Arabidopsis thaliana: one gene and its partner. The protein of the gene in region 2 interacts with the protein of the main gene of each other region in a pairwise test. Each region holds a gene or a part of one and is shown on either strand. Other genes may lie near its edges.

The links. Proteins that work in one complex are often made in the same cells at the same time.
Region 1: the proteins of AGG2 (region 2) and XLG2 come close enough for resonance energy transfer, tested with the Arabidopsis thaliana proteins (one study listed by BioGRID).

The regions. Positions count from the first base shown.
Region 1 is NC_003075.7:16,439,048-16,445,833, reverse strand, and holds XLG2 (extra-large GTP-binding protein 2), read right to left. Parts: upstream 4,749-6,786; 5' UTR 4,256-4,748; coding exon 3,215-4,255; intron 3,122-3,214; coding exon 2,984-3,121; intron 2,892-2,983; coding exon 2,787-2,891; intron 2,705-2,786; coding exon 2,546-2,704; intron 2,466-2,545; coding exon 2,318-2,465; intron 2,205-2,317; coding exon 1,969-2,204; intron 1,861-1,968; coding exon 1,697-1,860; intron 1,589-1,696; coding exon 994-1,588; 3' UTR 828-993; downstream 1-827. Other genes in the region: AT4G34400 (AP2/B3-like transcriptional factor family protein), read right to left, coding at 425-511; AT4G34380 (Transducin/WD40 repeat-like superfamily protein), read right to left, coding at 5,512-6,786. UniProt on the Arabidopsis thaliana protein: Guanine nucleotide-binding proteins (G proteins) are involved as modulators or transducers in various transmembrane signaling systems. Binds GTP with specificity. Plays a role in the root morphogenesis by regulation of the cell proliferation.
Region 2 is NC_003074.8:8,132,072-8,137,215, forward strand, and holds AGG2 (G-protein gamma subunit 2), read left to right. Parts: upstream 1-2,005; 5' UTR 2,006-2,403; coding exon 2,404-2,523; intron 2,524-3,244; coding exon 3,245-3,297; intron 3,298-3,377; coding exon 3,378-3,422; intron 3,423-3,511; coding exon 3,512-3,596; 3' UTR 3,597-4,133; downstream 4,134-5,144. Other genes in the region: AT3G22940 (F-box associated ubiquitination effector family protein), read left to right, coding at 1-635; ARFC1 (ADP-ribosylation factor C1), read right to left, coding at 4,293-4,652. UniProt on the Arabidopsis thaliana protein: Guanine nucleotide-binding proteins (G proteins) are involved as a modulator or transducer in various transmembrane signaling systems.

The sequences.
Region 1 (6,786 bases), on a different chromosome or scaffold from region 2:
TCAAAGCATCCAGTCTCAAAATTTTATATCTTTCAGCATTTAGAAGCAGAACAAATGTTTCTATTCATCAACAGAAAAAGAAAACAAAATCTGAGCAAAACTACTTTATACTTTGATGAAATTTAGTTCCAGTAACCAAACATATCCAGTGTTAAGTCCATAAATTAAGCTGATTCATACAGAAAGTTTAAATCTTTAGTCAGAAAAAGGAAACCAAAGGGTAGGAATAAGAGCAAAACCCTAGAAACAGAAAAAGCAAAATCTATAGAGGAAGCTAAATGCAGATAAACACAGTGTTTGTTTCATAAAAACCATCAGACATAGTTCAAAGAAACCACTAGGCTAAGAGAATCTACCCAGTTCAAGAATCGTTTGCTCATGAACAGATAAACCTGAAAGAAGAAACCTCGAGAGAAAATCTTACCATGAACTCTGAGCTGAAATGGGAGACGAAAACAGTGAAGAAACGTGGAGGGAGCTGGAAATCATTGCTAGCCATTGAAGAGGCCATCTTGGATCTGTGTGTGAAGAGAGTGAGTGAGAGAGAACGAGTGAAAGAGAAAGAGAAAGAGAAAGAGAGAGAGAAGAGTAAAGAGAAAAAGTAAAGCTAAAATGTTGTATGAAGAGAGAGTACCTTACCTTGACGCTTGAGTCAAATCAACGTTTAAGTTTTTGCAGAGAAAGGAGGTACAATCCTCAGACCCTCGTATTCTGCGTGGCCATTTCAAATTATTTTCTTTTAAACGGTTTGATCTCCCAAACTGAACCGATAATTTATTGCTACTCCGGTCCAGTTCAACCTCAATAACCGTATAAGTAAATGTCTGTTAAACCGGGAAAATTCACTTTATTATTTCTCTATTTTTTTTCCCCTGAAAAATCAATCACATGAATGTATCTTCACACTACTACATATACAACAAACATACACACAGAGAGAGAAACAAACTTATGTAATTTCCACAAAGAAAGAAAGAATTTTAGGAAAAAATATCAAGAGGACGAGCTGGCCTCTATGCTAGTAGTAGACATCTCTTGGAACATGGAAGTTTCTTCAACATGCCACTTGAGAATCTCTCTCGCATACCTCAGTGCATTGTCCACAGTATCACTCTCCAAGCTCACTTGACAAACAAACAATTTTGGCTTAAAGCTCCTTCCACGCATATTTACGGGTTCCAAGATTGAGTCATAGAGTCTCTTGAACTTATATCCAATGTAATGGAAAGCACGCTGAGCCATTGGAGGGTTGTGTCTGCTCGTCTGGTTCTGGCTGATCAATGGGTTGAAGTCTTCAAACCACTCACAGGTTCTTAGAGGAACCTCTTCGATCTTTTCTTCTAGGAGATCAAATTTGGTTAGAACCAAAAGAAACCTTTTGTTAGCTAGGCTCGGGTGAGTCACCATGTTCTCGAAAAGCTGTTTGGTTGCAAGCATCTTGTTCACAATATTCCCCTCACCGTCTTCTATGTTTTCTGCATAGTCTGTTAGTGAGACACAAAATATCACCAAGTCAGCGTCTTCAAACATTTCCAGCAATTTCCAGTTTTCACCAAGGCTTCTCGGATTTAGCCGGATGAGTTGGTACCTAAAGAGAGAGAGAGAGAGAGAGAGAGAGAGAGAGAGAGAGAGAGGGTAAGTTCAACGGTTTTTCATATAGCCGGAATGCAACACAAGGAAAAAGAACAGAACTAACTTCATGTCTGTATCATGTTGATAATCGCTCTCAAGAGACTCTTCTTGAGAAGTTGATGGGAATGAGAAGTCCACACAAGAAAGTCCTTCCATAGAGGAGAGTCCTTCCGCTTGCAATATGTCCATATCAGAAGGATCGTATTCTGATCTCGAGATCTCAAGAATCTGAGAAGAAACAAATTTGGGTCAGTCATCTTTTTCCCCTTAAACAAAAGTGTTAAGGTCCTGAAAGAGCGTTTATATATGCAAGCAGGCAACTTGATGTAAACTTACTCTTTCAAGAAAATAAACGGCGTTCCTGGGAAGTGTATCGCGAAGTCTTTTGTAGGTGGCTTGAATAGCTGGTACTCTCCAGAGATCTGCAACGGTTTGAGCATTCTCACGGCTTGATGGTGGAAATATCTTCAGGTTTCCGTCTTCCTTTTCTTTCAAAACCCAATCTGAAAAATGTTTTAGTCTCGGGTTGATCGAGTTACCTGGTTTTGCACTGGTTTCATCTCCCACATTGCCTAAATCCCAAGAACTCGATCAGTCTTCCTCAATAATCAATTGTTAACTGATGTTTGTATTAGAATATGAATGCATTCTTATTCTAATAGTTTGTACAGTCAATAATAATTACCTGAAGACTGGTCATTGCTCATCTCTTTTTCAAATCTTTCATGTGCCTCAAGAACCATTGCCAGATAGGTATAGAGATTTGTTTGGATTATGAATTTGATTCTTTCACGGTCTTCTAAAGAGAATGAGACGTTGTAGAGAGACCTTGCCTGAAACAGAAGAAGTCAATTCCCGATTCTTTACTAGATGTGAAACATTCAAGTGGGAGGCATTAAGATGAATAGCTCACTTGTTTGTAAATTGTAGTGGCGCCACCTTTTTCGCTACCAATCAAAAGAAGCTTGTTAAGCATCTTCTGCTCATATAAGGGCACATCATATGGTTCTACTGCAGACGAAGCCGGAGGAACTGGCAGAGAGAACACAGCGCAAGCAATTTTTGCTCTCTTCTGTAAAAATAATATCCTTCGTTGTCTTTAGTTTTATATTTAATGTTGTGAACGAGAAAAGCTGGTGATCAGGAAACCATACCTTACTCCAGATGTTCCCGATGGGATGCTTTTGACCTTCTTCTCGGTAAGAACCATCTGAATCGACCCAAAAATGAGGTTTTCCTTCACATTGCACCCCCGCCCACTACATCAAAGCAAAGAAGCGCTCAGTTCAGAACAATGACACATACACTAAGCATATTTGTTATCCAAAACAAAGGTGAAAAGCAAAAGAACCTTGAGCATCGTGAGCTCTGGCTTGGTTATTTCCCGGCCATTAATATAAATTTCAGTGTCTCCATTGCTTACTTTCTCACTGATGTATCCTCCTATGCTGTTGTTAGGACTTATAATCTGACTAGGTTTCTCTCCTATCTGATTAAATAAACACATAGAGGCTCTGATTTAGCTGAGCACTCAAAATACAATCCCGATAATAGATACGCAGACATATATAAGAAACTGTACCTTTCCCCAGTAGCCAGCAACCTTATCATACCAATAGTGTCCGGGTTTTAGCTTCTTGGGTGGATTTGGACATGTCTGCAACGTGTAAAGCTCATCTTCACTTAAAGGCTTGTCATTGACAATGATAAGTCGTGAAGGCAATTGATTCGCCTTGCAGGTGATCTCGGCATTCATGACTTGTCGAAGTTCAGAATCCGTGAGATGGCGCTTGAGCATTCTTGAACACTTTCCGAGACTTGCTCTCTTGGACTCATCAATCCTATAACCAATGCAAGCTTGACACTTTCTTCCTTCGGGCATCGCACCCATGGCTCTGCGCACACAGTTGAAACAGTATTTGGCATCGCAGACAATACAGACTTCCTTCTCAGTAAACCGGTTCCCCAACTGGCACCGGTAACACGATCCTCTTTTACCTTTCCTTTCAGCTCTATGCGTTGCAGCTATACTTTCTCCATCAGAAACATAGGAGCTCTCATCACATTCACTACTCTGAAAAGGTTCAACGAATCTCACTGCTCTAGGTCCCACATCCGAAACTCTGTCATCATCTAAGTGATCCTCCTCTCTCGCTGATGCAGACAATGGTGATGATGGTGATAACCGAAAATCAGCAGGACTTTTCACTTCTTCTGGTACATCCAACCTCTTTGATGATGATGATGATGATGAGCCAGAAACAACATCACGCCCTATCAAAACCACACTAGAACCAGCTGCAGAGTCAACGAAACCGTTCTTCTTCTCTATTCCAGAATCAGGTGGTCTCTTGGTATCCTTAGTCATAACGAGAGGTGCCACTGGGTAAGAGATACCACTCCGCAAGGAAGAAAAGGAAACGGGAAGAGCCGTAGGAATCTGATCAACTTCAACGGGAAGAGCTCGTGGCACATTAGCAATAAGAGGACCTTTATACTCACTGGCGAATGAATATTCGATTCGATAGCCACTACTTGTTTCATCATCATCGTCACTTTCTCGATTATCCCTTTTAGGATTCGGTGATGGGAAAGGTAATAACTTTCTTATAACTGCAGCCATCTTCTTACCCAATCAAGCACACATACAAACCCAAAAAAGCCCTAATTCCTAAAATTCCCTAATTTAGAAACTTAACAACTTATCCGAGAAAACGAGAATTCATGAAGTGATAATATACAGATCCTAAGCCATTAGTGGCTTAAATAATCAAATCACAAAGCGCGTGAAATAAGAACGCAACTACAGAAATATAGAAAAAATTGATCACAGAAAGCTCCTTTAGCTTAAAGAAAGAGACGAAATTTAGTTTTTTTTTCCAGGAAAGTGGCGATGGAAGGAAGAAAAATCAGCAAATAAATTTTCCGGGAAAAGGGAATTTGCAGAAGAAGTAAACAAAAAGAAGAAAGACAGAAAGATGGGTTGGATCGTATACACTAGTAAAAGACGAGGACTTGACAAAAAAAGGGGAAGACTTTCTCTTTGTTTTTTATTTTCTCTGCAATCAAAAGGAAAAATGAGTTATTTTCCGGGAAAATTCTTGCCGTCAACGCGGGTTAGGGGAGTTGAAAACGATGCGTTGCGAAAGGCGTTGATGGAGTCAAAGAGAGAGGGCAATTTCGTAAATATATCTTCGGTCCTGCAATAATGTTCGCATAACCCGAATTACACGGTTAATAGAAAACCGGAGGTGTTGACCCTATTTAAGTATTTATCAAAGAGAGGCGCAGAGACATATATGATGATCCCGGTTGTGGAAATGTTTTCGGTTAAGTGATTGAATAAGACTTTTTTTTTTTTGCTCATAAAGATAGATTAGGTTTAAATGGTAACAGTAAATTCACAAAGATTAGTAATTTCTAACAACTTTGGGTGGATATTTCCAGGTTGGAAAATCAATTAAAAAATATCAACATCCTATATTATAATAATATAGAAAGACTAATTCTAATGAAGAGGAAAACGACTCATCCAAAATTCCAAGTTATAAAGTTGCAACCACGACATAGACCACTAAAGAAAACAAATATATATGTTTGATTCGGTCTTTGTTCTTGTTATCTTACAAATTTATGGAAAATAAATAAATAATTCAATTTCGTTTCAAACATTTTTTTTAAAGAAAAAAATAACCAAAAAACTCATTACGTGAAAACCATTAACCCGACTTTGATTCTCACACCAGCTAGCGTGGCACAAACCTCTCCGTTGACTTAGTCATAAAAATGAAATCAATCCTCTGTCTCTTTCCCGGCGTGAATATGGCTCTCGTGACGACGTGACACTCTCGTAAATAATCACACTATGCTCCTCCACTCTTATTTTTCCACATTGCGTGAACTCCACGCGCCACTTCCTTCATGCGGAGACGAAGAGCTCTTCCGCTCTGAAGATGCTGCTGGCTCGTCCATCTCCTTCCACGTGGCCATTCTCTCCGACACGCGCCACACTTTCACCGACTTGTCCAAACTTCCGCTGTATATAATCCACTTCCGGTCTCCCTCGGCCACTGAGGCTTTTGCTCCCTGATGACAAGCCCGTTCCTCCTCCACGGCTAGGCACTTGACCGGCCCCATGTGTCCCGTCAAAACAGAGAGACACTGATGGGACTTGTCAGACGGGTCCCGCCTCCATACGCATATGTTCTTGTCGGCGGAACCACTCAACAGCAAGTTCCCCGCTATACCTAGACAAAGCACTGCGGATTTGTGGCCTTTGAGTATTCCGCCTGTGAATGACCGCTTTGAACGCTCCCAATAGTTCACTAGCCCGTCCGAAGAACCGCAATATACGATGGAAGATTGTGATTTTACGGCCAACGCCGTGACCGCATTTTCTTGCTTGAGCAAAACTTGAGCTAACGTATGTTTTGTTCCTTTGCCTTGCAACTCACGTTTCCACACTTTAACAGTACCATCTGCGGATCCCGTGAACACCAAGTCATCAAAACCGGACATTACAGAGTTTATCGCGTCATCGTGTGCATGTATCGATTCCAAACATTTTGAATCCGCGATTCTCCACACTTTGATTGTCGTGTCCCAAGAACTCGAGTACAACAATCCAAGCTCCACGTCCAAGCTAAGACTAGACACTGCGTCGTTATGCTTCGTCTTCACAGAGTTTCTGTTGCGGCGTACCTCCATGAAATGCTTAGGGTTGACGGAGCTCTTGACCATTGATTTAAATGTTGGCAATGTTCCAACCCGCTTATGTTTTCCTGGTTTTCTCTTCGAAACCTTCCAAATCCGGATCTTCCCGTCTTGATGGCCGGTAAAGATTCGGTCTCCGAATATCACAATGGCCTTGATTAGCCCACTACTGGATTTAAACCCAGCGTGTTCCTTCAAATTCTTCCAAACCCTAATGTTCTTCGAATCCGAGCCCGTGTAGAGAAGGTCACCAGAAGCGGCTAGCGAGTATATATGCCCTTCTTTTCTAACAATAGATCCAATGAGACCGTTGGTCTCGAGGACATTGTCTTCGTTGAAATCTGCACCCCAAGGAGGCGACACGCGGGCCCAAGGCGACATTACGCAAGGAGAACCTTCTCCGCTGGCCGGACCGCTGCTCATGGTCGAGGCCGAGACGCT
Region 2 (5,144 bases):
CTCTCAAGGGAAACACTTACTGGTGTGCTAAAAAAAGGAACTCTGACCTTTTTCTCAATGCTGATCATATAATCTGTTTTGATTTCACAAGTGAGAGGTTTGGTCCGCTTCTGCTTTTGCCGTTTAGTGATTTGGATGGTGTTGTTACTCTAGCTTGTGTTAGAGAGGAGAAGCTTGCGGCTTTAGTTTGTCACGAGGATGTTGTTGAGGTTTGGATTACGATTAAGATTGAGGCCAATGAGGTATTGTGGAGCAAGTTCTTGACAGTGAATGTTGATTTGGGTGATGAGATTCCGAGTTCACTGACATATGGTAGTTTTTTCATCGACGAGGAGAAGAAAGTTGCTATGATTTTTGATAAAACTTTGGATCGCGGCGACACAGTTCACATCATGGGAGAGGCTGGATATGGTGGACAAGTTGATCTCGGAGAACCGGTTAATAAAAGACGTTGCCCACTTGTGTGCTCTTATGTTCCGAGTTTAGTGCAAATCAAGAAACCTGCAGGATTCCAAAGGAAACAGCAAAGCAAGTTAGAAAAGCGTCAATATGTTCGAAACATATCGAAACTTCGCGCACTTAAAACCCAAAGTTCTTGGACATTAAGTATGTCACTTGAATGTCATCAACAGTAAGATTTATGTTTCTTGGCTCGTACTTCGATTTATTACTGCTATGTTTTAGACTGATACTTTACTAAATATTACATGGCTTCATCAGGAGCTTGGTAGAGTGAGAAAGCATTGCCAGCCGATTTTTGCCCGTATAGCTCCGTCTCAGTTTGTTTCGGGCCATTGTTGAAAGGACTTCCTGTGCGCTTTTTTGTCGATCAATAGTTTAGACCGCTCTTTTTTGTTGCCACTTTCTTGCTTAGGGGAGTCTTTAGATCGAGTTTTCTTCATCTTCTTACTAAGAGCCTCATCGCTTAAGGTTTAGTTGATGCGATGAATCTCGAAAGGATTATGCTTCCATGTTTTTTTCCTTTTTTTGGCATGGGACCATGTTTGTAGGTTTTGCTTCTTGTAACTCCTAAACTTTCATTTTATATGATATTTACATTCTTATCAAAAAAAAAAATATATATATTACATGGCTTCATGCTAAAGGACATGATATTAATCAGATTTTTAAAATTTAAAGATGGTGGAACCTCAGGTTTTCGATAATATAATTTAGAGATAGCTTCTGTTATCTGGCCTAGTCTCTACAAAGTTTTTAAAACCGAACCAGCGACTCGACTAGATGGCATTGTCGATATATCTATCTAGCAGAATTTCAGTAGCAGAGTCTTTTTAGTGAGAGGGTCAGGTGCATTATCAGTCCTTGGAAACATCAAAGACAAGAGCAAGTTGTTCATGCTCAAACTAAAAGATTACCATCCACCATTTTGGGATATATATTCAACTTCTTACTCTTTGACATCTTGGAAGTCTTCCACATCCTCTTCTTCTTAGGTCGTTATCTTCATAAACATCTTCTTCAGTCAAATCTGCCTCACCTTCTGAGTAGCAAATATTTTAAACCAGACCATTTGTACTTCTGACTATTCTTCTGTCCGATATGTATCTCTTTAGAAGATCTTGGTGCATAATGGCCTAATGGGGATCATCATTAATTAGGAAATAAAAATCAATTCTTATATGTGCTGAGAAAAAAAAAAAAAAGCTTTGAAGTTAAAACTAGAAATAATAAAACATATTGGATTAAAGATAATTAATGTGGATCCATGGAATGATCGATCATGACGAGAAATAAAATATTATGGGGAATATATAAAGAAAGAAAAATGTGCAAGATGATTAGTATGAAAATAACATTCCCTTAGTTTCACAATATAAGTGTTTTGGAGAAATTTTTGTTTCGAATGTTTTCAAAATTTTATGCAAATTATAGATTTTTTTATTTTTATAATTATATATATATATTATATGGTCTATTTTATGATTGGTTAACTTTTTAAAAAAATAAACATGAGTTATTGAGGTTTCAAGAAGAAAGTTTTATGTTTATGGCCATCAAGACTGAAATAATGTTTTGTTTTTCTTATTTCCGTCGACTTTCGTCTTTTTCAAAATCGCAACTTTTATATATATTTTTTTCTCTCGCCTTTCGATCATCGGAAAAGCTCTTTTTCAAGTCTCCCCAACTCATAACTTTGAATTTTCTATTTGCCCCCTCATAAAATTTGCTTCTATTCTCTTTGTTTGTTGGAGTTCTCAAGATCTGTTTGATTCTGAATCCTTGTAATTTTTGTATCCAACCAGTAACAAATGGGGTTTTGTGAAGGTTTATGAGTTTCCCATATTCAAATGGCGATCTTTTAGTCTGAGTAAAATTGTGGTTCTTATCTGTTTTTGTTAAAGTTTCGATTTTTATTTTGAGGGTTGAATTCGAGAAATTTTGATGGAAGCGGGTAGCTCCAATTCGTCGGGTCAGCTATCCGGGCGGGTCGTTGATACAAGAGGCAAACACAGGATTCAAGCTGAACTCAAAAGGCTTGAACAAGAAGCTCGATTCTTAGAGGTATTTTACTCTCCTCTTAATCTTAAACCCTTTCTTGTTTCGACGTGCTTGGGCCTTTTGGCTGATTATATCATATAATTACAGATTGGATCAATCTGTTGTTTTTGTGCTTCGGCTCTTTTTGGATGGAATAGTATAAATCTGAGTGGAGTACGGTAGAGACTTTCAAAGTTTGAAACTTTTTTAGTTTTGGGAATCAATTTGATTTAGGGGTTTTTGTTGTTGTTGGTATTCAATGAGTGAAAAAAAAAAAACAGGTTTTGTTGTAGCAGTTGGTATTGTGGGGTTGCTTTTAGTGAGTTAATAGTACTTGTCTCTTGATATAGTTCCTTTTTATATGCTTAACAAGATTGGATCTTAGATTAATGGAATCGATCTGACTTTAAGAAATGTAGTGTAGAACTGTCTCCTTTTAAAGAGATTTTTGTGATGCTAAATGTTACTTGAGTGAGAGAGTAGATCCTTTGCGAACAATATGCTTCTGTTGATAAAACAAATCACCAGGGTCAGTAATTAGGAAGGTTCAAGAATGGTGAGGAGTGAAACTGAAATGTAGTTTAAGCTCTTGAGCATATTTCATTCAGGTGTAATAATATCTTGACTCTTGATCCCTTGAGGTTTAAGCTCTTGTCTACGTAGCTGTTATGACATTTGTGAACTCAAATGCTTGCTTAAAAGCGTTACAAGGTTTTAACTTTCTTCCTTCATTTATTATATTCAGGAAGAGCTGGAGCAGCTTGAGAAGATGGACAATGCATCAGCATCCTGCAAAGAGTAAGAACTTGTTACATAACTGATATCCGGTTCACGAATAATCATTCCACAAGCTTGACTAGTTTCTCGAATGGATGCAGGTTCTTAGACAGTGTTGACAGCAAACCCGATCCTCTTCTTCCCGAGTAATTCTTCTTCTGTTTTCTGATAGTTTCATTTCAATAGACTGTGAGATGATTAGGTCTGATATGTTTGCTTTTGTGACTACTTGCAGAACAACAGGTCCGGTGAATGCGACATGGGATCAATGGTTCGAAGGCCCTAAAGAAGCAAAACGATGTGGCTGCTCCATTCTTTGATCTTCCTTTCCTTCTCTCAAAATATTTTTGTCTCTACTTCTTCCAGAAGAGTGAGTTTGTGTTTTTACGTTCCCGCGGCAGTGAATTTGATGTAATTGGCAAAAAAAAAAATTGATTCATTTGTGCAGTAAAAAATCTATTGATCTTGATGTGTCTCTTAATTTAAGAAGACCACAGTGCCAAATTCACGCCACCACAAGAAAATCTAGCACAGTGGCCGTCGGTGATCCCCACACCAATGCATCTCAGTTCCAGATTGTCTTGGAAAAGTTCTCGTTTCTCGATGGTTTACATGTCGTGTTCGGGCAAGTTGTTGAAGGACTCGACGTGCTCAGGAGCATTGAAGACGAGGTTGGAACTTTGAACAGGATTCCTTCCAAGCCGGTGGTTATCGCAGACTGTGGTGAGCTCTGAGAGAGGCTACAATGGTGTCTTGTCTTGTTTTAATGGTTGCTCTGTTTTTGTTTTTAGTTCGTTTGGATTTTGAGTTTGGTGGTAGTTTTAAATCTGAAACAAAACAAGATTTTTTTCTTCCATATATGAAAATTCTGGACACAGTTTCAATGAGAGCAACCAAAATAGTTGAAGCTTGTTACATAAAAGTCAAGAGGATACAATGTTAAAGAACATATGAAGGAGACAAAAGAAACAAAGAAGAATAGTACGTACTCTCTCTGATTCAGTTCTGGTTTCCCCTTAACTCGTGGCTTTACCGGTAACTTTTTGGGCAATCCAACCGAGCCCATCATACAATCCTTCTCCAGTAACCGCACAACTTGCTTGAATATGCCAATCATGGTTCTTGATACTGTGAAGGTTAAGTGCATCCGTGATCTCAGCAGGAGTCATTGCGTCTTTCAGATCCTGTTTGTTTGCAAAAACTAGTATGACCGAGTTTTGAAGATCCTCATGACCAAGTAACCTGGCTAGCTCATCTTTCATGAAAGAGATTCTGGCTCTGTCTGTGCTATCTATAACCACAATCACAGCATGTGTTCCACGATAGTATGTTGCCCATGAAGTTCTTAGCCTATCTTGCCCACCAAGATCCCATACCTAAAGACAACATATCATAAAAGTAAACATCGCCTCAAATATTCGATTGCCAGTGTCCAACAGTTAGTTTTTGACAGGAAACAATTCAAACTTTAGTAAGTTTAGTTACGTTTATATTCATCATTGAGTTTTGACATATAAGAACACATGCAGATTGTCATAAAACAGAGATGAATTCATCTCAGGCCATGACTTTGACCACTGTATAAAGATGTTCCAAACAGTCCTCTGGCAAAAAAACTAAGCTAATGGGAAATAGCAAACAGTTCCTCCGGTATAACAAACAAGCTAGATAAACAACATCTACAAAAATTTACTATACAAAACCATAAATCGCACATACGAAAACGTTCATTATGAGTTTCTGACACCTTCTCAACCAATCATGACAAGAACTTAGACAAAAACATCATCCATTTTTCAACGAGAAAAATGCACACACCCAAGCAAGAAACATAGCTAGGGACAATAACACAATCAAAAGATGGCAAT